Sus scrofa: one gene and its partner. The protein of the gene in region 1 interacts with the protein of each later gene in a pairwise test. Links are inferred from orthologs where the notes say so. Each region holds a gene or a part of one and is shown on either strand. Other genes may lie near its edges.

Evidence for each region.
Region 2: the proteins of transducin-like enhancer protein 1 (region 1) and HES6 interact in binary tests that used the Homo sapiens proteins (3 or more experiments, as listed by UniProt). The link is inferred for Sus scrofa from reciprocal best matches to the Homo sapiens genes TLE1 and HES6.

The regions. Positions count from the first base shown.
Region 1 is NC_010443.5:234,280,799-234,296,313, forward strand, and holds part of transducin-like enhancer protein 1, read right to left. Parts: intron 6,969-15,515; coding exon 6,719-6,968; intron 4,995-6,718; coding exon 4,747-4,994; intron 1,070-4,746; coding exon 922-1,069; intron 1-921. UniProt on the Homo sapiens protein: Transcriptional corepressor that binds to a number of transcription factors. Inhibits NF-kappa-B-regulated gene expression. Inhibits the transcriptional activation mediated by FOXA2, and by CTNNB1 and TCF family members in Wnt signaling.
Region 2 is NC_010457.5:137,779,643-137,795,401, reverse strand, and holds HES6 (transcription cofactor HES-6), read left to right. Parts: upstream 1-7,712; 5' UTR 7,713-7,947; coding exon 7,948-8,028; intron 8,029-8,109; coding exon 8,110-8,196; intron 8,197-8,298; coding exon 8,299-8,380; intron 8,381-8,589; coding exon 8,590-9,014; 3' UTR 9,015-9,594; downstream 9,595-15,759. UniProt on the Homo sapiens protein: Does not bind DNA itself but suppresses both HES1-mediated N box-dependent transcriptional repression and binding of HES1 to E box sequences.

The DNA of each region.
Region 1 (15,515 bases):
AAAACCAATGAGACAGGACTGGTCATGTGCTAGTAACTGTTGAAGCTGGGTGATGGGCATATGGGATTTGTGGTTTGGACTTTTACATATGCTTAAACATTTTCTGCTCTCATATATATTTGAAATTCTCCACGAGAAGTTAAAAAAAAAAAAAGGGCAGACCAAAAATAGGATCTTACCCATAACAGGAACAGGGCTGGAACACGAGAGACTCAACAAAATTTTGACAGGGCCATGAAATTTAGTTGCATGTATAGTTGCTTTCCATTTCTGTCCTATTTTTCTGAGTGGAATTACTTTTATTACCCCCAAAAAAGTAAGGAAATAAGCGATGATAAAAAGAACAATTCCACCATCAGAAAGCACTTAAAATGGCATGCCCTGTCTTTCCCCAAACAGGCCTAGAGTCAGACATTCAACATGTAAATCATCTCCACAATCCACAATCAAAGTTACCATTTTTATGCCATTTCAAAACTCCATAAATCTGGGCAGGCATGAGCCCAGTTTTTAAGGGATGAGTAATAAGACGGGCATCCACTGAGATGCCTGATGTATGTGAAATAAATTAACTCTCAGAGCTATCATGATTATCACTGCATATTTTTCAAGGTCCATTTCGATGTGGACCAAATCATCATCTCATCTCTCAACCCCATGTTAGATGGTGAGAAGATGGACAGCAGATCAGACCCTGTATGTTCTTCCAGGCGCAGATTCCTGAAGCAAACTCATATACCACTAAAACAACCCACAGGTTGTTTAAACCACAGCAATTTTAAAACACTGTAAGCATTTGGGGGTGATTTCTGGGGTCTGTGTGTATGTATCTCAAATTAGAGCCCAGACTGTTTGTCTGGCTACTACTGTGCTGGGGATGGGAGGGGGGAGGTGGCTGCACAGGGAAGAACAAGCCCACACCTGGGAGGTGAAGTCGTGCTGCTGCAGCTGCCGCCCTTCACGCAGGTCCCAGGACCGGACTGTGTTGTCCAAGCCGCCCGTCCAGAGCTTGGTGCCATCGTTAGAAATGTCAATACAGCTGGCCCCGTCCGTGTGGCCCTGGAATTGCCTGATAAAACAAACCAGATTGAATAACGATTTCCTGCCAGGGCTCAGGGTAAACACTGTTGTGTTGTTGGTTTTGGACCTGCCGAGCATGTGTCATCTCCTCAGTGTCTGCTGATGTGCAAGATCAGACCAACCTTCCCCTGAGGAGGAGAGGAAACAGCACCTGCAGATTTTCTTCTTTTTTCAGGATCCAAGTGCTGAAGAAACTGAATGCCGTTTTAGGTCACCACACAGGAGAAGTTAAATACGCTCCTAGAGCTATTCTTACAAATTCGTCTGGAACGAAAAATTCCTCCCAGGTCTGGAAAAGTGTTTAAGTGTGAAAAGACGGGGGGAGGGAAAAAGGCAAACACACAGAATCCCAAGTGTATTCCTCCCAGAAAGAGGCAGGCTTGGCCTTTAACCGCGTGGGCCTGAATCACCACATTACCAGCTCAGGGCCCAGAAGCACTCCTGTCTCCATGAGTGAATAACACAGCGATGCCCTTCCTGCCAACAAAGCATGAGCTCATGTATTTACTCAACCTCGCTTTCTCTACTAGAAAGAGACCCGCATTAGGAAATGTGGACTCGCAGAGACAAAGGGGCATGCCGGCCTCCTGACTCAGAGGCGCAGAGCAGAGACGGAGCTGATTGCTGGGACCGGCCTCTGGCACAGCGTGGCCTCGAAGCTGAGCACAAGGCTGTTGTTCTCTTAAAGAGGATCCTTGTGCTTTGGTCAAAAACCACCACCCAGAACAAGCGACCAACCAGGATCTGCCGGGCGCAGGTGCTCTGCCAGGTCCCAGGTGGGGCTTGCTGGGGGCAGGGGGAGGTAAGCCACCACAGGGCCAGAAGGTTGGGGGTCATGAGTCTGGTCTGGTCCATGCCAAGAGGGAGCTGGCAGGGGAGAGCCGGGAACCAGAGAGAGGTGTTCGGAGGCCTGAAGAGGACGGCAAAGCAGGCAGCATCCAGGAGTACTTCGTGGGAACCTCAACACCCAGAGAAAAGTTTCCAGTGCCTCCCCTTCCTGTTACCTTCTCACAGAGCGGCAATCTTGAAAGCTGAGTCCAAAATTTAAAGGGCATGGAGGGTAAGACAAGAGCAACCCCAGTGCCCTGAATTCAGAGATAAGATGTGAACTGCCACATCAAAAACAGCCCCTCTGGAGCTCCCATAGTGGTATAGTGGAAATGAATCTGACTAGGATCCTTGAGGACCCAGGTTCAATCCCTGGCCTCACTCAGTGGGTTAAGGATCCAGGGTTTCCGTGAGCTGTGGTATAGGTCACAGACACAGCTCAGATCTGGTGTTGCTGTGGTTGTGGTGTAGGCCAGTGGCTACAGCTCCAATTTGACCCCTAGCCTGGGAACCTCCATATGCTGGGAGTGTGGCCCTAAAAAAAGCAAAAAAAAAAAAAAAAAAAGTCACCTCTGAAAACCATTCAGAACTTCCACCTGGTCCTCTCCTCCATGCACCCAACTCTCCTTCTGAGGCTTCCCCTCTGGTCCCCCAGGCCTGGAGTAGCCGCACACTCCCCCCACCCGTTTCCAAACTGCTGCTTTTCTGCCTTCAAATAGCGTTTGAAACCCAGGGACCTCCCTCTTCATTTCATCTTCCGAATTCCTTTTACCTCTGGAACTCAGGAAATACTTTGATTCCTTGAATATAGAAATTTTTCTCTGCTGACTTAAGCACCCGGTGGGTATTTCTCCATCCCTGTATCCACCTATCTCGGTGCTGTCCTCAGGCTCCTCTGGGTCACAGCAGATGCAAGATATTAAGGGAGTTCTTGTCGTAGCTCAGCAGTAACAAACTCAAGTGGTATCTGGGAGGGTGTGGGTTCCATCCCTGGCCTTGCTCAGTGGGTTAAGGATCTGGTGTTGCCTCGAGCTGTGGTGTAGGTCGAAGATGCAGATCAGATCTGGCATTGCTGTGGCTGTGGTGCAGGCCGGCAGCTACAGCTCTGATTCGACCACTAACCTGGGAACTTCCATATGCTGTGGGTGTGGTCCTAAAAAGACAAAAAAAAAAAAAAAAAAAAAAAAAACAGTAGACTCTGCATTGCCCTGTCATGTCACACAAAGTAGCCACTAGCCACGTGTGGCTAGTCCAAACTGAGATTTGTGAAGCAGGACTCTGTCATAGCCATCAGGTATTGAGACCCTGGCGGTCAGCAAAGAGAGAAGTTCAGAGCACACCCAATGGAGATGGGTGCCTGGGCCCTATCACAGCTCCTCCATGATAAAATCAGGATAACAGCAATGAAGAAGCAACTAGGGTTAAAGAGATTAACATTTGAAAAAAGCACTCTGAATTAATATTTTGGAAGTGGTTTTATTAAATTAAAAAAAAAAGAAAGAAAAGAAAAATCGCCCAACACTTGCTAGGCTCAAAGTTTGAAAAGGCTGTTGGCTCTGGCTCCATCTGTCCATCTGTCCATTTTGCTCATTCTAAGTTGCCCAGTGAGCAACAAGAAAAATAACTCCTGCGCCATCACCCTCACGTAGGGGCAGAGCCTGGCCCAGTGACACTTACTGGATTTCTACAGATGAGGTTGAAGAAAGAGTGAGCTGCTAAAATGAATTCCCTAATCCGTCCCTTCCCTCCAGCTATGGGCGCGGAAGCACTGGAGGAGCCCTGCTGACTCATGTGTCTAAAACTGTGTCAAGAACCATGTTTCTGAGTGAAGGTGACACAGAAGGGTGAAACACATGCCTGTTCTGCCTTAGATGTTTAATTTCGTGCTTCCTTTTCTTTTCTTTCCTTTTTTTTTTTTTTTGTCTTTTGTCTTTTTAGGGCTGTGCCTGCAGCATATGGAGGTTCCCAGGCTAGGGGTCCAATCAGAGCTGTTTCTGCTGGCCTATGCCAGAGCCACAGCAATGCAGGATCCAAGCCGCGTCCGCAACCTACACCGCAGCCCACAGCAACACTGGATCCTCAACCCACTAATTGAGGCCAGGGATCGAACCCCCAATCTCATGGTTCCTGGTCGGATTCATTTCTGCTGCACCACGACGGGAACTCCAATGCTTCCTTTTCTAAAGGCTTTTCTCTAATACTGTTAATGTGAGTGCTCCCTTTGCCAGAGGGGGTGAGCTGACCAAAGCCAAGGAGAAGGTGGTAGATTCCAGGCAGCTGGGCTTGCTCCTGGATAAAATGACACCTGGACAGGGATTATTTAGTTATTGAGAAACACTCGATACTCTTAAACCATTTTGTGGGTAAAGTTCATGGAATCTCCTCTTCTAATGTTCTTTTGTTGATTTTCTGTTATTCTTTTATCACTTGGCTCCTGTTTTCACATAGGAGGGTCTAAGCAAAGCCAAAAACATCTAGTATTGAAGACCTTTGGTACCTCCATCTAATTTATGGTATGCCACCCTTTGGCAAGAGGCAGGAATGTTTTTTAAACAAACCTGGCATCTGTACATGGCTGAAGAATGAGAACATGAGGGAAGGAAATATAAAGTCTGAGTGACATCCAAGCACAGCAGCAAGACCGTAAGCCCCAGCCCCATGAGGACGGTGACACGGTTTCATCTTTTTATTCCTAACTCCAAGCCTGGCATACGGTAGGCTCTTAATGCGTGGGCTGAGCGCCTGAGGGCAGCAGCCAGAGAAGTAGGAATAAAAGGGGGCCTTCTGGCCCAAGTACTCCGGGAGGGAGCCTCCCCTTGGGAAACCACCTCTGCTCACCTCACCAGCGTCTGGTTGTGCAGGTCCCACACGGCAATGTTGCCATCACTGCAGCAGGAGAAGCAGACCTTGGAGTCAGGGCTTATGGCCAGGGCATAGCAGGCGGGGGCCGAGGATGTCAGCTCTGCCTTGATGCGTGGGGTGGGAGCCGCCAGGTCCCAAATGGACAGAGTACTGGCTTCCCCTCCCACTATGAGAGTGCAGCCATCAGGGAGCAATTTGCAGGAACGGATGTAGTTATCCCTGTTCTGTGAAATAAACATAATTTAATTGCTATAATGCATGACCAAGCAGTCACAATGCCATTTTCTCCAACTGCTATCTTGGCTGTTGACTTAAAAAAGTGGTATTGCATGGACACTAGCAAAGCACGAGTCTTGTGATAAAGATCAGGATCTGATGGCCACTGGCTCTTTAGAAGCAGTAAACAAACACCCAGGGTTGCTCAGGCATGTGTGGTTACCCAGAACTGCTTCTGATGCCCAATTTCCTGCCGAGTAGACGGAACTGCAAAGGATCAGGAGACATAAGGTAGGTGCCCATGTACTTCTCCGTGCAGAAACCACTTTTCAAAGCTCGTTTATAAATCTTTGACCTCATCACCCTCCGTTATTTACTATATAGAAATGGCAGACCTGCTGCCTCTGTTTTGGTTTTCATTACCCTTAACTCTCTGCCTAAGGCTTGTACTGTGTCTTCATTAGCCAGATGGATCCTTGTCTAAGAATTTAACAAACAGCTGCTTTCTCAAGATGTAACGAGGCTGCTGTCATATTTAAGCCTCTCAATCCAAAGGCCAAAGAAATGAATAAAAGAAGGCATATCTCTCTCAAAAACAACACATTAAAAAAGGAGGTGGGACTTAAAACAACACCCCCTGCCCCCGAAAGAAATAACTGCTATCCTTTAACTCAACAGATACAGGTCAAGTCTTTACTATGCTTTAACTGTGGCCTGTTGTTCAAAGACTAGAGAAACATTAAGCAACGCAATTTCAAAAAAGGAGAGAAGTGTTACAAAATTCTCCTACCACTGTAGTCTGTTGGTCGATGTTTATGTATGTTTCCCTATGTTTACATTTCATTAATGGAGATATTTTTAAGTTATCTGATTGAAAAAATAAACTAAGAACTATCCCAAAGAGTCTTTCCATCGCAAAAACAATCATGCTTTTTTTTTTTTTGGAAACACCGTCTTGGGAACCCTTGCCATTTCACTTGCCAGGCAGGCAGCGGGGACAGTGAACCAGCTGCCACAGCAAAGTGACACCCTACAGGAGCAGAGCGGCCTGCAGTCTGCCTATGGCCAAAGGCAAATGGTCCATAAATCCTGTGGTCACTGCACAGAGAATATGTCGAGACATGTACTATGATGCTCAGAAATGCAACACGGTATTGTCACACTTCGGGGAAGGTAGACTGGTGCCTTGGGGAAGCACTGCTCCCACCCCCACTCTGCTGATGACCGCCCTGATTTTTCACTGTGATCTATTAACTCTTTCCTGAAGTTAAGATCATAAAACCCAGCCAGGTCTCCCTGAAAACACAGACCCTGTTCAGAATGGTTTTATGCCACGTTATCAAATGTTTACTCTTCAATATTTATCCTAAGGCTGTAGGGAAATTACAAGTCGAGTGGATTGCAGGGCTCAGAGTCCAGGCCTAGCTGTGCTCCATCCATTAAACGGGAAACCCCCTTCTGAATACATTCACACAAGGACAGCTTCTGTAAACTACTGTGAAAATATTTTTTAAGAGAAATCCATCAACTCTGGGATTTAAATCACTGAAATAGCAACAAATGAAACCTTCACACTGAGGGGAGAGGGTGGGGAGAGCTCAAGAGCTAACACAGGAAACAGAATGGGCTTCCATTTCCTCATAATGGGAATAAAACCCAGGCCCCGACAGCGATTTCCTTATTGAGTCTCCAGGGGGAAATTACCCTTGTGCACCGGTGCCTTCTCACTCACCAGACAGTCGAGCTGAGAGACGGGGCTCTTGTTGCCAGGGTGGCTGATGTCCCAGACCTTGACGCAGCCCTTCCCCCCCGTGTACACGTGCCTCGTGGGGTTGCTGATGGTCACCGCGCACACCACCTCCCCGTGGTTCAGGGTGTTGATCTGGCGAGCGTGGCGGGGGATGCCGGGGCCGATGAGGGCGTCGGGAGGGAAGGGCACAGGCTGCATCTGACCATCTGCAGTAACGTGGAAGGAGTAGGCACTTTTGGAAAGGAGAGGATTAGGGAGGAGAGGAGAACAGGAGCGGAGAGAGAAAACACATTTATCATAAAGCCATTAGTCATTACCCACCCCCCCACCACTTGCACAAAGGAAAGAGGCTTGCTATGATTTCCTTTTGAAATCAATATAAATTGAAGTATTTGCAGATGGAACAAACAAAATAATAGCCACAGTCGAGGGTGTAACTGAACTATATTTTAAATTTTTTAGAAGATGTTTAAATTGTGCTTCTTCGTTCCATAAAACATTCCTCCAAAACCCATTATGAAACAGTGAAATGTGCTTCCAAATTAACACAGAATACCTCCCTCCATGTACCTTGTATAACTGTATGATTTCCTAGAGTGATATAACGTGATGATTTTTGATGCTTAAGATGAAGCTCTCATACTATTAGCTCATAATAATTACACACAGTAAACAGTATGCTTCAACACTGACAAACAACAACAGCTTTCTAAACATAGCATTTTAAGTTTTGGACTTAAATTCTCTTTTGCCTAATTCAGAGAAAATAAGAGCTTCTCCTACATCAAATGGCTTTGAGACAAAGACTTCAAGTTTCCTCTTCGACAAGATCTTTGGCCACAGAGCCCAGTTTCAACCAAGGCAGCAAAGCTCCCAGCCAAAAGACTATTTCCCAGCTTTGCTTTAGCCAGCTGTGCTCATGTTCTGACTGGTAAGATGCGGGCAGAAACTGTCAGGTGGCCCTTGGTTCATAACTTAAAAGAAAGGGGGCCTTTAGCGACACGGAAACTATCTGTCCTCTCCACTCAATTTTGCTGTGAACCTAAAACAGCTCTAAAAAATAAGTTTATTAATTAAATAAAAAAGAAAAGAAAAAGGGTTTAAAAAGACGAAGAGGGGTATTCCTGTCCTCCTCTTCCTTCTTCCTGCTACCTGAACTACAAGCAAGATAATTGGAGCTCCAGCGGCCTTTCTGGGCCACGAGGTGACTTTGAAGATGAAAATCAATTCCCAAGGAGGGGAAGAACATTAAGATAGGAGGCAGAGGCCCTGGTGGCACTATGGTGCTATGATAACTGCCTTGGGCACGGAGAGAGATAAACTTATATGTTATTTAAGCTATTGGTAAATACCAATAAGCCTAATCCTAGTGCATGCTTCCACCCAAAACCGTAAAGCATACTTGTTCCCTAACGATCTATTTAAACTTCAAGCACTAATATATTATAGACACTATAAAATATGCACAAAGAAAAGAACTTATAGAGGAAAGAAGACATAGAAGTGCTACTATTTCCCATCCAAATCTGAACAAGACACACTGAAGACCACTGCTTTCACTTTCTTCTTATGCAAAGCCATCACTTGCTGATTTAGAAATATAACATTCAAGGAGTTCCCGTTGTGGCACAGTGGTTAACGAATCTGACTAGGAACCATGAGGTTGCAGGTTCAATCCCTGGCCTTGCTCAGTGGGTTAAGGATCTGGCGTTGCTGTGAGCTGTGGTGTAGGTTGCAGACGCGGCTCGGATCCCACGCTGCTCTGGTGTAGGCTGGTGGCTACAGCTCCAATTGGACCCCTAGCCTGGGAACCTCCATATGCCGCGGGAGCGGCCCTAGAAAAGGTAGAAAGACAAAAAAAAAAAAAAAAAAAAAAAGTTTAACATTCAACTTTTTCTATAGGTCTGCTGTACACATAAACAATAAATGAAATATGCAGAGTTTCCTCCTTCCCATAACCCTCTGGGATAAGTCTAGGCTCTTTCTGGAACTTATCACTAGCACCCTGCAGTCCCTTTACAGATTCTAAAGACCATGGCTATTAACACAGAACTTAAATTTTCATTTTAATGCTAACTCAAATTTGGAAAAATAACTTAGCATGCACAAAACTGAAAACCGATACAAGATATCAGGTTTCTACCTGCCTGCACATAGAACCCACACACTTCCTGGCTTGCAAATAAAACATATGCAATTATTTTCTTTCTAAAAAAAAATATCGAATATATGAAAAGACTTTTAAAAGAATTTCCCCTTCCCTCTACCAAAAGATATGTAATCTCCTGGTAAACTGGTTCCAATAATGAATATAAAATGGCTATTTGGCCCAAATCCTTAACATTACTCTTCATATGAATTACTGACTACACACAATGGGAACCACACCAAATGTCCTAGGAAATGAATATACATAAAAAACCACCACAGTTCAAAGCCTGTATGTCACCAAACCACTAAATCTCCTATTTTTTTTAAGTATAGTTGGTATTTGTTTGTTTGTTTATTTATTGTGTTTTTTCTCCTTTTCTATTTATTTATTTATTGTGGTTTTGTTTTTTTTTTCTCCTTTTCTAGGGCCGCTCCCACGGCATATGGAGGTTCCTAGGCTAGGGGTCGAATCAGAGCTGTAGCCACTGGCCTATACCAGAGCCATAGCGATGCGGGATGCGAGGCGCGTCTGCGACCTACATCACAGCTCACAGCAATGCTGGATCCTTAACACACTGAGCAAGGCCAGGGATCGAACCTGCAACCTCATGGTTCCTAGTCGGATTCGTTAACCACTGCGCCATGACGGGAACTCCTATAGTTGGTATTTAATATTACATAAGGTACAGGTGTATAACAGTGACTCACAATTTTTTTTTGTCTTCTGTCTTTTTAGGGCTGTACCCGAGGCATATGGAAGTTCCCAGGCTAGGGACTGAATTGGAGCTGTTTCAGCTGGCCTACACCACAGCCAGAGCAACACAGGATCTGAGCCATGTCTGTGACCTACACCACAGCTCATGGCAACACCAGATCCTTAACCCACTGAGCAAAGCCAGGGATTGAACTCATGTCCTTATGGATACTAGTCGGGTTTGTTAACTACTGAGCCACAATGGGAACGTTGCGATTCAATTTTTAAAGGTTATTATACTCCATTTACAGTAATAAAATATTGGCTATATTCCCTGTGTTGCACAATATATCCTTGCACCTTATTTTACACAAAGTAGTTTATACTTCTTAATCTCCTACCCCTATATTGCCCCTCCCTCTTCTCTTCTCCCCCAGGTAACCAGTAGTTTGTTATTTTCATCTGCAAATCTGTTTCTTTTTTGTGATTAAATCTCCTATTTTTTTATGTCACAGTATCCTTTGATATCCTTAGTAACGTATCAAGCCCACATGATATTTATTTATTTATTTTTGTCTTTTTTTTTTTTTTTTTTTTTTTTTAGGGCTGCACATGATATTTAAACATACATACATTATAGTTAGTTGAACCTACGCCATTTATTTGGAGTTGGAATCAAATAGGATCGTATCAGTGTCCTGGGTTTAAGGAGTTCCTGCTGTGGCACAGTAGGTTAGGAATCCCATCCACAGGATTCAGGATCCTATGACTCGGATTCAATCCCTGGCCCAGGAACTTACAAATGTTGCAGCTGCAGCCATAAAATTAAAAGAAAAAAAAAAAAAAAGACTGGGGTTTAAGTCTATTCACATTCTAGGAGAACTCTTCAAGGTCCAGAAGCAAGTTACATGACTCAGATACCAGGCACCATGACCTGGGTCTGAGAATAACAAGCAAATAACGAGATGGAGCTGGAGAAAATGACCACTAAATGTTCATAAAATAAAACAATCAAATGGAATGTCTTTTCTGAAAATGGTGGTTGACGTGGGGAGAGAGCTTGCCTCTTAAAGCTTTCTGTGCTGTGAGAATAACAGCAGATGTAAATTATGTTAGTTATTCCATTTGCCATAAATCAAGGTGGGCACCTCCAGGTAGGCAGTCTCCATCAGATCCCCTTTTAGCAATTCCAGATTTTTATTGGAAGAAAACGTTATCTTGCTTCAATTGAAACCCTTCTTATTACAGAGTTAAATGTTCCAGATTAAAATAGATGCACAGAGGACAGACGGAGAGCTGTATGCTTGCCTCTGGAAGAGCCCCACCTCTCTCCCAGGTGTCCTCGTCTTTAAACTGCACAGGAGGTCTGTGATCATCACACTGAGGTGGTTTAAAATTGATTCACAGTACAGCGAACTGCTGCCAGAAGCTGTGAACATTCATCTGTCCCAGGGGAAACCCATATGGATGTTAATACATCAGTCACAGGGGGCCTTGGAGGAAGCTGGCGCTGCCCGCTGTGCTGGAGAGCCTCATCAAATGAACAAACCCGAAAGAGGCAAAAGGCTTTGGGGTGGGTAGAGAGGGGCTCACAGAGAGACTGATGGGAAGGGACAACCAGGGGAGCAAAGGAGACAGCCTGGAGTCACTTATTCACCTATCCGCCTCCAGGAACAACAGAATGTCTTTGAGAAAAGGATACCTACCTTGATAGTGACCATGTTAAAGAGATTCCAGAAGGACACTTACCCTCTTGACTGACTGAAGAACTAGGAAAAGTAAGATCAACCAGGAGGGGGAAATTATAAACAGATAATGTACGTTCATAAATAGCTATCAAGACTGAATTGAGAGAGAGACTGCCACAAAAGAATGCATATGGCATGGCTGCATTTACAGGCAGGATTCACCTCTGGTATCAGAAGTCAGGGTGGTGGTTCCCCTTGGCAAGTGGAAGGGGGATGGGGGGGTTTCTTGGGTGGCTCTGGGTGCAGAGTCACGGGGCTATACATGCACTTTGCTCATGTATACCACAATGTGAAAAGCTTAGATTTATGTGTGTATTCAAGAAAAAAGCAACAGGAGGGCTTCCGACCAATGAACACAGTAGATTAGGTCACAGCCAGGGTGAAAGCCTAGACTCTGGCATTAAAGGGACCTGAAATGCGGGGCCGGGGTTCATGGCCCCACTGACTATGGTCTCTTAACTACCTGTGGCTTATAATACGTCTGTTTCCTGATTGACGAGATAGAAAAAAAAAATAAAATATAAGGGTGGCAGGGGTTGTTGTAAGGATTAAAAGAGACAGCAGCTGCAAAAGTGCAAAACAGTTACACTATGCTCGACACCTGCAAGGGCCTTCGGGAAATGACAGCATCGTTATGAAACACCCGTGACTTAAAAAGAGGAAAGTGAGGCTAGGCTGAATCCAGGGCTCTTATCTCGACCAGTGGACAAGTGTGAGGGCCAGGAATGCGGAAAGGGAGGACAGTGCAAGGAAGCAGCCAGGAAAACACGAGGCAATGATGCGGCCAGGAAAATCAGCAAGTTCATAAATCTTAAAGGCGAGGTGGGGAGATAGCACCAGGCAAAGGGGAGCAGAGGACGTTCGGAGAGGCTTGGGACAAAGTGTGGGGCAGAAAGGAAGAGCCCCTCAGGCTCTGGTTAGCGGCTGCCCACTCGCCTCCTGGAGCCTCAGAAAGCTGAGTCCCCAACCACTACCTCGGCTGCTCGAATCAACTCCAGATCAGGAGCTAATTCTGAGATCTGGTGGCAGAAGTGAGGGGAATAAAGCCCCCTGGACATCACAGATTTATTTTTTTTTTGTCTTTTTGCCATTTCTTGGGCCGCTCCCGGGGCATATGGAGGTTCCCAGGCTAGGGGTCTAATCGGAGCTGTAGCTGCCAGCCTACGCCAGAGCCACAGCAACGCAGGGATCCGAGCCGCGTCTGCAGCCTACACCACAGCTCACGGCAACGCCGGAACCTTGACCCACTGAGCAAGGGCAGGGATCGAACCCGCAACCTCATGGTTCCTAGTCGGATTCGTTAACCACTGCGCCACGACGGGAACTCCAACATCACAGATTTAAAAACTGAATGAAATCAAACTCCTTTGGAGCAGGGCACACAGCAAAAGTGAAGGAACTCAGAGTTGCCACAGGCGCTGCCAACGGGGAATCAGGACAGAGTTGCTGGGAATCAGGTTGTCCTTCCCTAGCAGAGAGGCTCCTGCTAATAAAACCATGCTGTGTTCTCTGGCCAAAGGAAAACAGGTGTTCAGAGGTGCTGGCTTTCTGGAAACAGGTCTGGCAGTGGCAAGACCCAGCAAGCAGTAACGAGGAAGCAAGGACCCAGGAGATAACGGCTGAGGCCAAGGCCCCGCTGCCTGTGGACCTGGCCCTTTCAATGGAAAATTTCTTGCCATACAACCAGGTATGCAAAAGAATTCTGCTCACATCAAAACCTTCACTCGCTCTTCAAGCAGTCAGTGAGCCCTTCACGACTGAGTGTCAAGGAGCCTTGGTTCCTGTGACCGTCTTGTCTCCTCAACTCGCAGCCGCCGGAACAGGCCAATCCCCTAAAATATCGCATGCTGTCACATCTTCACAGTGCACACAAACTGTTCCCTCCTGCGGAGAACAGTGCCGCCTCCTCCTCAGCGCATGTCACTTCTTCCCTTCCTCCTTCCCTCAGGCAGCCTGCATAACCCCCCAGGCTGAATGAATCCTTTCCAGGGCCTTGGCTTATCCTATAAATTGGAATCATGCTGAGGACTTCTGCCCACGTTTACATCTGTCTGTCTCATTCCCTGGTCCTCCGGGAACAGGTGGGATGACTTCGCCCGCAAGCATACAGTGGGCCCTCAGTAAATGAATCCAAATGCCCTATATTGCTATTTGCTATCGAATGACAATAGATTAAGGTGTGAGAGGTTGTTCCATCAAGGCGAGGACAGTCAGCTCCAAGAAGGTGGGGATCCTCTCGCCACCAGGGATCTGCCAGCTGATGTTCCGAAGTTGTCCTACCAGATTAGCCAGTCGTCCTGGCTAATAGGTAGTACCAAGCTTCCCAAGGAGGGAAAGCAGTCCCCAGAGACTCGGAACTGGCCACCGGCAAAACAAAGACAAAGAGAGCAATGGTAATCACGAAATTCACAGCCCTTCCCCAGCAGCAGGGCCCAGCGGACGCTGGACCTCCTCAGACACCATCTGCAGTAGAAGCAGCTGTGAGTCACATGTGACAAGCTGGCTCCTTGAGCCCGGGTGCTGAAGAACATATAGGACAGTCCTGGAAGTGAGGAGACCCAGATGAGGTTTCAGTTTAATCACTAATAAGATGTAGGGACCATATGGAACTTATTCGGGCCTCAGTTCCCTATTTTTATAACATGCCCTGATGAAACGTACCCTGTAAATGTGACTGCTGAGGCAGGGGGTAAATGAAATCGTGTGGCACAGTCCACGCAGAAAAATACGAAGCATAATAGAGACGCAACCTTTGGTTCTCATGTCACAGGGGCAGCTCGCCGCCGCTTATTATTTAGAGAGGAGAGGAAGCAGTACAGGAGACAGTAACTGATCCAACTCTGCTCGAAAGTAGGAGGTCAGGCCAAGCACAGAAGCGGGGCTCTAACCTTTACCGTAGCTTCCACTACCTTTGACACTCTCACTGCAAGAGGGTCACAGGAGTGCGATGGAGTCACCTACCCTACACAGAACGAGAACACCAGGCGTGTCAGCATCTTCCCTGTGCTTCCTTACGGAGCCCTGGGCGGAGGACTGGGGCATCTAGCTCACTTTAAGTCAAATGAGAATAATATGAACCTAAGATTTTGGAGGATACTCTCAGCCTCAAGAACTAGTGCAGTGAAGGTGGTGGCTGGGGTGCTATGATGTGGAGTCATAAGAAAATCAGAGCCATATTATTCAAAGATTTCAGGGGAAAAAGGGTCTTCGGGTGCATCACCTACTTAGGGCAAAATGTCTTTCTTTGCCAATATAACAAGCTTTACCTTTAACATGTTTTAGGGTCTGCACATCTAACCCATAACCTCTGAGAAGTCCTTGACTTCTTCCACAGGACTTTTCCAGTTTGACTTCCAGGCATCCTCCCAAATAGCAAACCTGCAGATCAAGGCGCAAGCCCTGCCCTATGTGAAGACAGCAGTTCTACATCAACGAAGGGCTTTGGTAACAAATTACAAGCTGAGGACTTCAAAGCATTAAGACAGGAGACTTTGTTTGTTTCCTTATTTAGGTGAATACACGGCTATTCTCATTTTTTAACAATGCAGATACAGAACTTCTTAGAATAGTTAGGAGAAAGAAAATTACTAAACAAAGCAAACAAGAAGAGACGGCCTAGCTGATACACTAGAAGGTTCCCTGGCCAAAGTCGGCATTTACGATTCTGATCTCTAGGCCCTACTTTCTCTATAAATTAAATGTTTCCAAATTGTAAACATACTGGGCAGCAACAGGGCTCCTATGCAGGACAAAGGTACAAACCGAGAAATGCCTGGATGAAAAGTACGACAAAGGTAAATCTGAAATATGGCCACTTCAAAGCTCAATTCAAAAATCCTAGCAAAGGAACAAACCACGACAGGCAAGCAGTATTTATCTGAGCAAGAAAAAGACAAACTGCACTTACACCTGGTAAGCTGAAAGCCATTTCTGAAGAGGTGAGGGACGAGAGAGAGAGAGACGTAAAGGGAGGGACAATTGTGCAACAGCTAAACATAAGTCACATGAACAGAAGGGCCTCTCACCTCAATATAATCCTAAGAAATTAGCCTCACATTCCAGACCTTCAAAAGGTAGAAAAACAGAAGTCAAACCAAAACCCACATGGTGATAACATCACACAAAACCAGCATGTTACTTTTAGCACTTAACAGACCGAAAAACACCCAAATATCAGAACAAGTAA
Region 2 (15,759 bases), on another chromosome or scaffold:
GAGAGAGCGCTGAGGCCTCTTCCCAGGGCACCAGGGCCCGCTGGCTTCCGGTGAGTTGTCCCGGGGCGTCATACCAGGCTAGGCTGTGACCTACAGCTGAGAAGCCAGGGGTGACTTTGAGCTGAGGGCCAGGGCTCCCAAGAGCTTCGCCAGGCTGTTTGGATCAGATCAAATTCTGTCCTCTGGGAGAGGGGGTGGCTTTTTCTCTAAATTAGTCAGACTAGATGTTTTTAAAACATACCAAGTGGAGGAGACCACAGTCTCTCCTGATTTTCTTTGAAAATGTTTTGCATTAAATGGAAATGTTTTGCATTAAGTGAAGCTGGGAGTTCCCTTGTGGCACAGCAGGTTAAGGACCAGCAGCATTGTCACTGCCGTGCCTGGGGTCGCTGCTGCGGCACAAGTTTGATCCCTGGCCTGGGAACTTCCGTAAGTTGCCAATGGAAGGCCAAAATAATAATAATAATAATAATATAATAATAAAAATAAATGGTGTGAAGCATAGTTTGGCAAGCCAGCAGCTTCAGCTTCAAGTGTGGTAGTGGCAAATATTTCAACCTGATGTAGCTTACGTTTGGGGTGAACAAAGTTGAAATGCTCACTCTGGACTAAAGAAGCCTCATGGTTTGTGTGACCGACTCTGCCATAGAAATACACATCAACAGAAATACATGGACCCTTCTGTCTATTGCGCCATCACGCCTGGGTCCTTTTCAGACGGGATCGCCAATATGTAGATACCAATGCGTTGTCAGTCATCCCCTTATCGTGGCTTCCGTCTAAACCAGGCTTTGATGGCCACCCTCGAACCCACTCATGTCTTTCCTTTGGTTGGCACCTCCCAGACATCAGCCCTGGCCCAGCCAAGCCAGCGCTTTCTCCCCGCGGACGGCAGCCGCTGACCTGGGGGCTGCATCTGCATCCCCCAGATTGCTGTGAGTTCCCCACTCCCACCGCACCCTGAGCTGGGACCCTGACCCTCATGCTTCTCACGAGCCTGACCTCAGTGGTGCAGCTTCCGGTCTGTGCGGGGACATCCACTAGTGTCACTGGCACTTTCGGGTGAATGGGACCCTGGGGGAAGAGCGAGACCAGACTGCCCACCTTTTGCGAAACCTCATAGTGCGTCATTAATCCCAAAGGTTGTTTGGAACAACGTTATCTTGGTCCCCAGAGTGAATGAGCAGGTACCAGTGGCCAGACAATCGACTTAGGATTGGACGGAGTCTAGAAACTTACACGGAAGCAGCCCTTGCCTGGTTCTTTGATGGTGAAGCATCTGCTGGAGGAGGTGTCGTCTCCTTGTAATCCACTTGGGTTTTGTGGGCCAAACCATTTTACGCCTGAATATCAATCCTATTTTTCATAAACTCAGACACAAAAAGATTTTTTTTTTCATTTACAAAGTAACATCACCTTCAGAGGCCCCAGACGAGGGGTAGCCTGTGCGTTTGTGTGGAGATGAGATGCTACTAACGTTCCTGCCTCTCAAGTCAGATCATTAAGGGATTCGCCGATAGCCAGGGCTGCATTGATGTCACCTAAACACAAAACTGCCAAAACATTCTCTACTGTCACGAATGTTCCCCGTTGGCATTATCTCACTCTTCACACATACCTGCCCGTTGTTAACTGTGTAGCTTCAACCGTGTGCTGAGAAGTTGACAATAGGAGCATTTGGTGAAATTGTTTACATGGCGCCATGCATCGTCTTACGTATTCTTTCGTATGTGTGCTTACGCGGGTGTTATAGAAACTTCTCAATTTGAAACTGAGCCTTCTTTTTAATATATTCCTCAAAAGAGATGTAAATAAGCTCTCAGAGTCTGTGTCATGACATGTTAGGCCTTGCCGGACAAGTGGTTTGTTCACGCACAAACCGAACTTTCTTCACCCAGTGCAATATGTTTGTTGGACTGCTTGTGTCTTTTTATGACTTTTTTGCCTTTTAGAAAATTGGTAAATAAAGCAAGTATATTTTTATTTTTTGTGTGTATTTTTAACATAGCACAGAGAAAAGGCTGAAGATCAAAGATTATCAAAGGATTGTTTTTTTAAAAGAATGCGAGAGGGAGGGAGTTCCTGTTGTGGCCCAGCAGTAACAAACCCGACTAGTATCCATGAGGATGCGGGTACTATCCCTGGCCTCTCTCGTAGGTTAAGGATCCAGGGTTGCTGTGAGCTGTGGTGCAGCTCACAGACGTGGCCCGGATCCCACATTGCTGCGGCTGTGATGTGGTGTCACTCCGGCAGCTAGCCGGGAACTTCCATATGCCGCCCTAAAAAGGAAAAAAATAATAATCCTAGAGGGAGTTCCCATTGTGGCTCAGTGGGTTAAGAGCCCAGCGTCGTATCCATGAGGATGCTGGTTTGATCCCTGGTCTTGATCAGTGGGTTAAGGATCCAGCATTGCCACGAGCTACAGCATAGGTCGCAGATGGGGCTCAGATCTGATGTTGCCGTAAAAAGAAAAAAAAAAATGTTTTCATGTATAAATAAACAAATAAAACCCTGGAAATTCTGGGGTAGGGACTCTTCTGTTGCAAAGGCCCCCCTCGGCCTCTCACTGGCCGCTTGCCGTCTGTGTGACCGACAGGCCGCCCCCAGCTCAGTGAATGCTGATGGAATGATGTTGATGGAACACTGAGAGTCAGTCCCCCCCTCCCCGAGGTTTCCACTCCCAGAGGGGGCATGGGGCCACGCAGCACAGCCGCCGGTGCTCCTGTCCACCCAGAGGGGACCCCAGGCGCCTCCTCCATCCTGTTCCCACCCTGCCCACGTAGTCTGTCCCAGCTGGGCTGGCTCCTGCGTGCTGGCCACAGGGTTAAAGGCAGAGGGCTGACGGATCCAGGGCCAGAAAGGTGAGGCAGGCAGCCGGCCCAGCCTCCTCCGCCCAGGCCCCGTCCTTCCTCGCCCTGTGTGAAGCCATGCGGGGCCTGGTCCAAACAGCGGAGGCCCGATCCTCCCTCCTCCCACTTTTCGCCCCAGGGCTGCGGTGGAACTGGAGCAGGGCGATGAGCGGATCCTGGACCTGGTGCCCAATCTTCCAGAAGCTCCCTGAGCAGGAGGGAGGCTTGACTCAGCCTCCTGGCCTGGCCACCGAAGTCCAAGTGGTGGAATTCCCGTCGTGGCTCAGTGGAAACGAACCCGACTAGTATCCATGAGGACGCCGGTTCCATCCCCGACCTCAGTGGGTTAAGGATCCGGCGTTGCCGTGAGCTGTGGTGTAGGTGGCAGACACGGTTCTCCCGCATTGCTGTGGCTATGGTGTAGGCTGCAGCTCTGATTTGACACCTAGCCTGGGAACTTCCACATGGCATGGGTAAGGCCCCAAAAAGACAAAAAAATAAAATAAAAAGTAAATAGGAGTTCCCGCCGTGGTGCAGTGGAAACAAATCCGACTAGGAACCATGAGGACTCAGGTTTGATCCCTGACCTCACTCGGTGGGTTAAGGATCTGGCGTTGCCATGAGCTGTGGTGTAGGTCGCAGACGTGGCTCGGATCTGGCGCTGCTATGGCTGTGGTGTAGGCTGGCAGCTACAGCTCCCATTAGACCCCTAGCCTGGGACTCTCCATATGCAGGGGGTGCGGCCCTAAAAAGACAAAAGACCAAAAAAAAAAAAAAAAAAAAGTGAGTAAGTCTAAGTGGCGATTGGGGGTGGGGAGGCTGGGCACACAAAGGCCAGGTCCCCAGTCTGCAAACTCCCTAAATGGCCATATATGGCTCTTTCACTGAACTTCTGCGTGCCCTCAGGGGCTCCTAACTGCATCTTTATTTCCCACATAACCCCAGAGCCGCCCCTCCCCTTTATTTCCAAACCAAAGGCAGTTTCTCCAAGCCTCGGGGCTGACTGCCACAAGGGGCCTGGACATCCATAGGCTGGCCACCGCCTTTGTTCCCTGGGAATTTATGGCCTGCCACTCCTGCCGTGAACTGGTCCCCCTGTGGACACGGCAGCCCTACCCAGCCTCTGCTGGCCTCTGCTTTTGGATGTGAGGGGATCAAAGAGCCCAAATGCTCAGGAAGTCTGTGCTCAAGCAACCTTTGAAGGTGGAATCAGTGCAAGGGACAAATGGCAGGAAGCGGTCTGCTGGGGAGGCCGTGCAAAGGAGGGAGAAAGGGCTTGGTGGCTTCCAGATGAAGTGCCCAGGCTTCTAGGAGGAAAAGGCCTAACAGCCCAGCCAGGGGGCCCACTAAGGAAACTGAGGCCGACTTCAAAGATGAGACCTTGGGCAACTTCTAGTCTAAGCAGGAAGGATTTTGCGGACTCACACAACCTGCCCTATTCCTCCACTTTTATTCCCCAAGGTACTTGGTCAGACGGAGGCACATCCCAGCACTTAATTTCTCCTGCCTTCAACTCCAGACAGTATTCCTCGATCCCTCACCCCATGTAGACAAGGCTTTTGAGACCCCTAGCCCTTCGTCGGCCTCCTCCCTTCCCCTGACAACTGTAACCTGTCCTTTTGTTTTTACAAAGTCAACGTTATAGTCTGCAACCATAATGAAGCCTTCCTTGCCTTTTCTAGATTGATTCTAAATGTCGAAGCCCTATGAAGAGCGTTACATCACTGGGACTGTGAAAGAATTGGCTCCTGGGCCAAGTAAGTGCTAAGACTACATTTCTCTTCTTGGGCGGCTTTTGGGTTTTCCCGGAGTTCCTATGGCCTTTCATTTTTTGCCTGCACCATTTGCCTTTATCGTTCATCCTCCACCTCCTACATTCAGCTCCCCATCCAATCAGGAAAAGACCACCTTTCCCAGAGGGCCTCCCTAGGGCCCTGAGCATCCTGTACCAATATGAACCTGCCTTTCAACACAGCATTCTAAAATACTTGTGTTCAAACAATATAATCAGTAATGGGAAGAGTATGGATCAGAATACAAGAAATATCACTGAAATTACTTTTCCATACCTGAGTTTCTCAAACTAGTGGAAACTTTTTTTTTTTTTGCCTCATCTGCAGCATGAGGAAGTTCCCAGGCCAGGGATCAAACCAAGCCACAGCAGTGACAATACCAGATGCTTAACCCACTAGACCACTAGGGAACTCCCAAAGTAGTGGAACTTTCATTGCAGTTCCTTGGGGGGTGAGGGGTGGGTGGCTCTCCTTCCCTGGGGTGATGTCTAAATGGTCCAGACAAGTCAAGTCACAGGCCAGCTATTGGCTCTCTCGGCATCTACCACCCAAGCCCCTCCTCATTCTGCCAGCCTCACCCAGGAGTACAGGGGGAAGGGCACTTGGGCCTCTGACCAGGCTGGGGAGGATGGGAGGAAGAGAGCCAAGCTTTGGGCTTTTGGGGGACACAGGACAACAGGGGGCGATTGAAAGAAAGGAGTGGGTTCATACCTGGGGGAGCAACGCAGCCCTAGGGACGTCTCGGGGCCCTGCACACAGAAGAGCAGAGACAGGGAGTTCCCGTCGTGGCTCAGCAGTAACAAACCCAACCAGTGTCCACGGGGACATGAGTTTGACCCTTTCCCTCACTCAGTGGGTTAAGGATCCGGTGTTGCTGTGAGCTGTGGTGTAGGTGCAGACGCGGCTCGGATCAGGCATTGCTGTGGCTGTGGTGGAGGCTGGCACCTGCAGCTCCAATTTGACCCTTAGCCTGGGAACCTCATATGCCACATGTGTGGCCCTAAAAGGCAAAAAAAAAAAAGAGAGAGAGAGAGAGAGGGAGGGAGGGAGAGAAAGGAAGAAAGAAAGAAAGAGAGAAAAGGAAAGAAAAGCAGAGACAGCCAGGTGAGAATTGGCAGAAAGGGCCCCCAGGTAGTTATGAGGTTAGTGAGGTGACTTCGAGAACCATCAGGCACCTGACCAAACTTGCCCTCCCTGTGGAGGTCCCTCTGGTGGGGAGTCTTAGGTGAAATAGTCACCTGAATAGCTGTCAGACCCATCTTCATGTATTTATTTATTTTATCTTTTTAGGGCCGCACCCATGGCATATGGAGATTCCCAGGCTAGAAGTCAAATTGGAGCTGTAACTCCCGGCCTGCCTGCGACCTACCCCACAGCTCAGGACAACACAGGATCCTTAACCCACAGAGCGAGGCCAGGAATCGAACCTGTGTCCTCACAGATATTAGTCAGATTCGTTTCCACCACACCACGACGGGAACTCCAGATCCATCTTCAGACCTCAAACCGACCTCTGTAACTACCTGGGAGCCCCTTCTGCCCGTTCTCACCTGGCTGTCTCTGCTCGACTTTTCCAGTCTGTGGCCTAGTCCTACCACCCAACCACACTTCAGTCTCTGGAGTTTTCTTTGCCCTGCTGCCTGCCGGCTTGGCTTGGGACATCTCACCTTCCCACCCACCCAGCGCTTCTGCTAGGCCAGGCTCCTGCTCAGGGAAAATAACGGGTCCCGGTGAGCACCTACCCCCACCAGGGACACTTATCCCCTGGAGGGGCGAAGAGCAGACCCTGACAATCCCAGGCCCGGGAGAGAAGCAGAGGACTGAGCAAGGGCAGGGCAGGTAGAGGGCTAGGGAAGCTGAGGCCTAGACAGGGAGGAAGGAGCCACCCAAGGGGGGCCCCAGCCTGTTCCAGGTGCAAGGATCCGTGTGTGCAAAGGCCTGGCGGCTAGAAGGCAAATTGGTATTCTGGCTCTGCTGGGGGGTGGTGAGACCCAGCAGCGGCCAGGCAGGGACCCACAGGGCGCGGCCCCACCCACCACGCACCCCACCCTCGGGGAAGCCGGGCCAGCAGATGGGCGGCCGGCCTGGGGGTGGCGGTCGTCTAGCGGCCACAGGCGCACCCACCGCCCGCGCCCGCTCGAGGGACAAAGCGGGCCGAGACAAAGGCGCGGCCAACACCTGTCGCTCTTGGCTGGGCCGCCGCTTTTCTCCGCTGAAGGGGCTGCAGCTGCCAACTGTCACAGGCATCAAGTTACGGCGACCAGACGGCAGCCTCGGCCAGCCCGGCGGGGCGGGACGGGGCGGGGGCAGAGGAGGGGGGAAGGGAGCCGAAGGGGGAAAAGAGGGGGACGAAGGGGACAAGAGTTGGGGATGGGGGCCAAGGCGAAGGAGCAGGAGTGGGGGACCAGGGAAAGACGTGCAGTGGGGTGAGGACCAGGGAAGGCTGGGAGGGGAGGGAGGGCGGGGGTCAGGGAAGGGGGTGCAGAGAGGGTAGGAACTAGGGAAGGGCGAGCTTGGGTTGGGGACCAGGGAAGGGTTGGCGGTGACAGGAACTAGAAAAGGTGGTCGGCAAGGGGCATCACCAGAGAAGGAGAGCCTAAAGATAGAGCAGTGCGGGCGGGGCCGGCGGAGGCCCCCCGAGCAGGCAGAAGATGGCAAAGCTTGAGTCCGCAAGAAACGCAAGGTGGCCTCGGGCCCGCTCCCACCCCTGCTGCCCTGGGGGCCCTCACCTCCCAGGAACTCCGCAGCCACCCCAGCCGGACCTGTAGACCTCTCTCCAGGTCGGTAGACGGCGGCCGGTGCGGTGGTGCCCTCATGGGATTCCTCTCCTGTTGCGCCTTCGGTCAACAAAGTCAAGCGTGAAGGAAAGAGTGAATGAATGATGGGTGGGTGAGCTCCGGCTCGCACACACAGCCCACCGGCGGACCTTGCTCAGGGTAGGAAGGCAACCTAGCGCACCTCGGGCTCCAGCGCCCCGGGTCGTCGCCCCCTCGGGTGCCCCTCAGCGCTGGGTTCGCCCAGAGGCGGGGCTGGGCTCCCCACCCCCACCGCGCCCGCAGGCCACGCCCTGCCAGCTGCCGCGCGACCCGGCGGCGGGGCCAGACAAAGCGCGCCTCTCTCATTGGCCCGGGCGGCCAATCGGTGCATTGAGATGCAAATAAGGCGCTATAAAATGGGCGGGCGCGACCGCCGGCGTAAGGACGCGGCGTCAGACGCGGGGAGGCCGGGAGGGCGGCTCCCGGCCGCTGAGCTGCGGGCAGCGCGGGGGGCTTCTAGCGCTCTCCGCGGTCTGGTCGGTGTGGGTGATGGCTCCGCTGCTGGCGCCCGGCCGGGACCGTGCGGGTCGGGAGGATGAGGACGGCTGCGAGGCGAGGGGGGACCGCAAGGTGCTGGCTGTAGCCGCGCGTGGGCGAGCGGGCGGGCGGGGAGCCGTGCAGCGCCGGGGCTCAGTTGCTCGCTTCCCGCAGGCCCGGAAGCCTCTGGTGGAGAAGAAGCGGCGCGCGCGGATCAACGAGAGCCTGCAGGAGCTGCGGCTGCTGCTGGCGGGCGCCGAGGTGAGACGGGCGGGCGCCCGAGGGCTGCGGGCGGGCGGGCGGGGGTCGCGGGCGGGCCGGGCCTCACCGCCCCTCCCCCACCGGGCGCTCCCGCCCGCGCAGGTGCAGGCCAAGCTGGAGAACGCAGAGGTGCTGGAGCTCACCGTGCGGCGCGTGCAGGGCGCGCTGCGGGGCCGGGCGCGCGGTGAGTGGCGGCAGGGCGCGTGGGCGGAGGCGGGGAGCGCGGTCGCCTGGCCTGCCCCTGCCCCGGACCCAGCCAGGGCTTCCCGGCCTGAGACGGGGTGCGCGCTCCCCACCTCTCCTGGGTGAGTCACCGTCCGGGTGGGCCGGGCCACGGCAGTGGCAGCTCACGGGGCCCGGCGCGGCTCTCTCCCCTTCCATCCTCGAACGTAGAGCGTGAGCAGTTGCAGGCGGAAGCAAGCGAGCGCTTCGCCGCCGGCTACATCCAGTGCATGCACGAGGTGCACACGTTCGTGTCCACGTGCCAGGCAATCGACGCCACCGTCGCCGCCGAGCTCCTGAACCACCTGCTGGAGTCCATGCCGCTGCGCGAGAGCAGCAGCTTCAGGGACCTGCTGGGGGACGCCCTGTCCGGGCCACCGGGAGTCCACGGGCGGAGCAACTGGCCAGTGGGAGGTCCCCTGGGGTCCCCACTGCCCAGCCCGCGGGGCTCCGGGGACGACCAGTCCTCTGACCTGGAGGAGGCCCCAGAGGCTGAACTGAGCCGGGCAACTGTTGAGGGGCCAGAGTTGGTGCCCGTAGCCCTGGGCAGTCTGACTGCTGCGCACATGGCCCATAGTGTCTGGAGACCTTGGTGACCAATGGCCAGTTTGGGGTCTGCAGGGTGGACCCTGCCTTCTCATGCTCTAGTCTCTCCTCCCTGGGGTCCAAGTGTGTCGGGGCAGGGTCCTGGGTCTCTTGGTTCTGCCACCCTCCTCCAGAGGATGGCTTGCCGTGAACAGCAGGGATAACCAGCCCAGCTAGGCCGCTAGCCCTGCTTCCTGAAGGAGTAATATTTATGGACCAGCCCCTGGTGGGTGCAGGGAGGGACCTACAGGCAGGAGGAAGGATCTTGCAGGGTCGCCAGGGCTCTCCGGGATTTCACCTGTCCCAGACTTCTCAGGCACTGTGTGGGTCTGGGGGCAAAGGTGACAGCAATGCTGAGCTGGGCACGGGTGTCCTGGCAGAAGGAGACCTCGGGCCCTGGCAGCCCTGGTCTGAGCAGAAGCTCAAACTTGCCATTCAGCCAGGACACAGGGAGGCATTCTGCAGCTTTGCCCAGAGCTGCCAGAGAGAAGCAAGGCTCCCTGTATGTCTTGCATTTAGCACACTTGAGTTCGTGTAGTAGGTTGCCAGCGTTTGTTCCAATTCTGTTAAATAAAGGATTTTGGAAAGTCAGTGTCATTAATGTGCCAAATGCAGAAATACGAAACCAAGCACATTTTTTCCTGTGTCTAATGCTGTGTTTTTAGGACACCTCGCCCTTGGTCAGCAACATAAGTAGGATGATGGCAGTGCAGATGGGACAGCTGTGGCAGGTCTCACAGTGGACAGTGCTTCTACCTCCCTGTGGCCACGTGGTTCCAGATGGGTTTCCCCTCAGGTCCTCAGGCATGGCCCACCCTCCCGGGAATTGGGTGCACCCTGGTGGTGGATACCATTGCACGAGTCGGTCGCCAGAGCAACAAGCTCTAAGGAAACGGCCTGTCCCTGGACCATTCTGCTCGTGAGCTTCTGGGAATGAAACGAATGCCTGGTTGCCGGCCTTGTGGTTGGGACGTTCCTTTCAAAAGTCTGGGTCCATGAGTGCGATGCAGATGGTGATCTACTGAGGTTGTCCCTTTTCTTGATTGAAGAGGCCGCTTCCCCAGTGCCAGTGACCTTGGGGTCGGGGAGACCCACCCAGTTTCCCGCCTAGGCAGCTTGAACTTGAGGTCCAGTTGGGCCCAGGAGGTCAGAAACCTTGAAAGGAAGGGGATGCCCCCTTGGGCTGGGTCAGGGCCCGCAGAGAGCCTGTGGTCCGTTGATAGGAGCCACTGCCACAGAGGGCCCAGCCCTGCACCTCCCGCCCCAGGACCCCAAAGCAGCTTGTTGTTGTCCTCACTTAGAGTTGGCAATGCCCAGGTGGGGTCAACGTGTGACAGTTGAGGATTGACACCTGGTCGCCTCTTCTGTGTGTGCCCTTTGCTTTAAGAACATCTGTCCCGGAGTTCCCATCGTGGCACAGCGGAAACAAATCCAGCTAGGAACCATGAGGTTGCGGATTTGATTCCTGACCTTACTCGGTGGGTCACGAATCTGGCGTTGCTGTGAGCTGTGGTGTAGGCTGGCAGCTGCAGCTCCGATGAGACCCCCTAGCCTGGGAACCTCCATGTGCCGCGGGTGTGGCCCTAAAAAAAAAAAAACCAACTCTCCCCAGAGCCCTTTGAACAAGAGCCCCTCAGCAGGTCCTGGCCACCAGGGGTGTTTCACCATGGCTCCCCTGTGATCCAGTCTTAGGCCTCAGCCACCAGGCTCTAACCAGATGCACCTTAATTTTAGTGACTGAGATGAGTTATGGAGGGGGTGAGGTGGCGAAGGCAGGTCCATAAAAGAGCTCAAGAGAGATGGAGACATTCCTGGGATTATTTTAATCGGCCAGATAAATTGATAGAGGTCATGTCCACCAGGTCCACCTGTGAGACCTCTGTCCCCTGTGACTCCCAGCAGCAACCAGAGGCCACTGTCATGAGCTCTGATGCCATTTGGGGAGCATCAGCCAGGGACTGTTTAGAAGGAACCACTCTTTACACTGGTGCCCAGACTTGGCACATCCTCCCAGAGGCCGTAGGAAGGGAGCCCAGGCCATGGGGTTCACAGTACAGGAGGCTGGGAGTTCCTGCTGTGGTGCGAGGGGAATGACGGAGTCTTGGGAGCGCTGGGATGCGGGTTTGATCCCTGGCCCGACACAGTGGGCTAAGGATCTGGCTTCACCGCAGCTGGGGCTTAGGTCGTAACTATGGTTCGTATCTGATCCCTGGCCCAGGAACTCCCAAGCAGGGGCAGCCAAAAGAGGAAGAACGACAACAAAAAATACAGGCGGCTGAGCTGGAGAGAGAGGTGTTTCCGACACCAGGGCCCTCCTGAGGTCAGAAGCCACTAACCCAGAACTCTGGCCCTGTGCCCCCGCCCACCCGTGAGTCAGCTTCCCTGAAGCCCTTGAGAGAAGCCGCTTTTCTTTCTCAACAAACGTGGCTCCCAGAGCAGAGACCACTGGCAGCCTCCGTGGGGCCAGGGCAGCTTCTGCCTATTGTGCAGCCTGGGCCCACTGGTTTCCAGCCTGCTCTCCTTCCTGTTCTGCCGGACGAGCCTTTCGCACCCCCTCCTCTCAAAGCCCCTCCAAGCCCTCACAGCCTTGCTCTAGGTGTTTGGTAGCCCTGCTTCATCATTCCTGGGAACTGCCTCCTTCCCACTTCAAACCCCTGGCTTGTGGTATTAGTCTTCTATGAATGCCATAAACTGCCACAAACTTGGTGTCCCAAAGCAATGTGACTGTATTCTCGGGCAGTTCCATAAGACGTCTGAGACGACTCACCAGGCTAAGGTCAAGCCAGAGCTGCACTTCCGGCTGAAGGTTGAGGGTGACTCCCTTCCTTTTCCCACCAGAGGCCGTCCACATTCCTGGGCTGGTGGCCCCCTTCCTCCAGCTTCAAAGGAGCCACGTTACACCTGACACGTCTATACCACATTTCCTTCTGACCCTCCTCCACTGCCCCGCTGGTCTCTCTACTTGTAAGGACCCGTGATGTCTTTGAGGTCACCTGAATAATCCCTGCCTCAAAGTCCTTAACTTTTTTTTTTTTTTTTTAGGGCCGCACCTGGGGCATATTGCAGTTCCCAGGCTAGGGGCAAAGCGGAGCTGTAGCCACCAGCCTACGCCACAGCCACGCCATATCATATCTGAGCTGCGTCTGCGACCTACACCACAGCACATGGCAATGACGGATCCTTTAACCCACTGAGTGAGGCCAGCGATCAAACCTTTGTCCTCATAGACACTAGTCAGGTTTGTTAGTGCTGAGCCACAATGGGAGCTCCAAGGTCCTTAACCCTCAAAGAGATCTGCAAAGCCTCTTTTGCCATGTAAGGCGGCCTCGTCATAGGCTGTGGAAATGAGGGTGTGGACATTCTGGGGAGCCATTACTCTGCTGACCACACCCACCTGCGCCTCCGCCCAGGCATTCTGCCTTCCACTGAGATGCAGGGCAGTGCCAGCCCTTCACACAGGATTGGGGTCCGTACCCTCTGACCTGCTCCATGGACCCTGCTCTCTCCCAGCATCGTCAATGGCTCCTCCCTTCTGGATCATTCTCATCAACCTGGGAACATCTAGCATGGACCTCAGATGTCTCGGGCAATAACCATGCCATGGACTTGGTCACTCGTTGAACCCTAAGCTTCTGCCTTCCGTCCGCTCCATCCCAGGAAACCTGTTTAGACCGCTTCAGGGTCTCCTAGGTATTGTCCTACCATTTCCTTCCCAGTCGCGTTTCTTGAGAATAGACTCCTTTCTTAATTTCCTCACCTGCTTGCTCGTCACACAATTTCAGAAAGACCCACATTGCCCACAATTCTCCTGAAAACTTCTGGTGTGTCAGGATGGCCAAGTGGTCTAAGACGCCAGATTCAAGCTTCTGCTTCCTGCCGAAAACTCCTGGTAATCTCCAGTGAGTCCTGATGGCGCTTTGGTTTCCATCTTACCTGTGTTACAGCATCTGACCTTGTCCATAACTTCATGCTTCTTAAAATGCTGTGCTCTGCTAGTTTTCTCACTTTCTCTTCATTCCTGCTCAAGTTCTAGGCAGGGCTGTTCCCAGGGCCCCCACCCCACCCCATAAATGGCATGTGCCCCGCATTCCCTCCCTCAGACCTCTTAATCTCGAGACCAAGCCTATGCGGTCTCCGCGGCTTCGCCTGCTGTGCCACTGACTCCAGCAGGGACATCCAGCCCAGGCCTCTCTGGAGCTCTAGTTTGCCCTCGGATATCCCACGGGTTCTTCAGACTCAGCAAGCCCCAGCCTGAACTCAGCCTTTCCTGCAAAGCCTGCACCTCCTTTCAGAGTCTGGACCCCCAAGAGCGGCATCGTCACCCATCAGGGAGAAACCCCCTTTTCCTTCAGCCCCACCTGCCAGCAGCGTCCAGGAACCGTCATTTCCATCTCTCTCTCTTTTTCGGTCTTTTTTTTCTTTTTTCAATTTTTGGCTGCCCTGCAGCATGTAGAGTTCCTGGGTCAGGGATCAGATCTGAGCCGCAGTCTCGACCTAAGCCAAAGCTACGGCAATGCTGGATCCTTAACCCGCTGTGTGGGGCGAGGGATGGAAAAATGCATCCCAGGCTTCCAAGGCACTGCGGCTGATCACATTGAGCCACAGCGAGAGCTCTTGTTTTTTTGTTTTGTTTTGTTTTGTTTTTTTCCAATGGCCACATCTGGGGCATATGAGAGTTCTAAGGTCAGGAACTGAATCGAACCATGGCTGAGTCCTATGCCGCAGCTGCATCAATGTGGGATCCTTTAACCCACTGCACTGGACTGGGACTCAAACCTGCACCTCTGCAGCAACCTGAGCTGCTGCATTCGGATTCTTTTTGTTGTTGTTTCTTATTTATTTTGCATATAGTAGTTTGTCTTTTTTTTTTTTTTTTTTTTTTTTGTCTTTTGTCCTTTTTAGGGCTGCACCCACGGCATGTGGAGGTTCCCAGGCTAGGGGTCTAATCAGAGCTGAAAACCGGTCTACACCACAGCCACAGCAATGCTGGATCCTTAACCCACCGAGCAAGGCCAGGGATCGAACCTTCAACCTCATGGTTCTTAGTTGGATTCGACGGGAACTCCATGCACTCCGGATTCTTAACCCACTGTGCCACAGCAGGAACTCCCATTGCTACCTCTCACGGGTGGAGTGAAGGAATGAATGAACAAGCTTGCACCTTATCTTGCCCCTTTCTCTCTGTCCCTCCTGCAACATCCAGGATCTTATCTCTCACCCGGAGAACGAGAGTGGGCTTTAAAAAACTCTCTATGGCTAGTATTCCCTCCGAAACCTAAGTCCTTCCAAAGCCCAGCACTCTGCAGATGAGCAGGTGTGGTGAGCCCCGACTCCCCGGGTTGGCTGGGGAACTTCAGAGCCTGCCTCTGCGCCTCATCCTCTTCCCACCCCTGCCAGCAGTTAGTGTTGCTGTGCTGCCGGCTCTCTGCTCTCCTCTCTGCTTGCCTTCAAAGTTGGCTCAGATTTGGGAAGCATTTCCTGGTCTCCCGTGGTTTCATGCAGCTTCCAAAGTTTCGCTTGCATTTCCTTAATGGTGTATATTTCAGACACTGTTGATTCATTCCACGATAGTTCTTGCATGCCTGCTCTTTCTTTGCCAGGCATTATTCTAGTTGCCAGAGATAAAGTTTCTTCTCAAGCTTATACTGTAATGAGGGAACCAGACAACAAATATGTACTCTGGCAGACAGTGTTTACCAGCCAAGAGGAGGAGGAAATCAGGCCAAGGTCAAGGGGGTAAGGAGGGATGGTGTGGAAGCAGGGGGCACATTTCAGTAAGTTGATTATAGAGCCAGCTTGTCTGTAGGTTTCGTTTGAGCAGAGAACAGGGGATGTCCTGGGAAGGACTGTTCTAGGCAGAGGACGTAAGTGCAAAGGCCCGGAGGCAGGCGTCCCTGAAGTCTCCTAAAAAATACCTGTATTGGAGTTCCCTTGTGGTGTGGCAGGTTAAGGATCCGGCATTGTCACTGCAGCAGCTCAGGTCACTGCTGTGGCACGGGTTTGATCCCTGGCCTGGGAACTTCCACATGATGTGGGCAGCCACCCCCAACCAAAAAAAAAATCCCACACCTGTTTTCTGTAGTTATTGACCGGTACTAGGTACCAAGGGACTGTATATAAAATGCTCTATTCATGTGGCCTTATCTGTTCCTTACATGTCACAGGAACTCTCCCAGGCCAGGTGTCAGTATTCCTAATTTCACAGATGAGGAAACTGAGGCTCAGGTAGGTCAAGTAACATTTTGTTAAACTAAAAAAAAATGTATTTCTGGCTGCCCTGTGGCTTTTGGACTTTCTGGGCCAGAGATCAGATCTGAGCTGCAATTGTAACTGATGCCAAAACTGTGGCAACGCCGGATCCTTTAACCCACTGTGCAAGGCCAGGGATCAAACCTGCATTCTGGTGCTGCAAAGATGCTGCTGATCCCATTGTGCCACAGAGGGAACTCCTAAGCTAGATTTTTGTCATAAAAGGAATACACGCTTCCGGGCAGCTTGGGGCATTACCGAAGCCTGCACTGCAAGGTCCAAGTCTCCTGTTTTATTCTGCACCTTTGTCCCCTTGACAGGGGTGTCCACGGTTCAGTTTCCTGGGTGTCCTTTCGGGTGTTTCCCATGCATCTAGAAACACATACGTGTAGGATAAACATCTTTTTATGCAGATGGGGCCATTCTGCAATTTTTTAAGCCAGCAATAGAATCGTTTCTTCAACAATGTCATCTGTGCACCTGCTGTGGGCCAAGCACTGTCCTAGC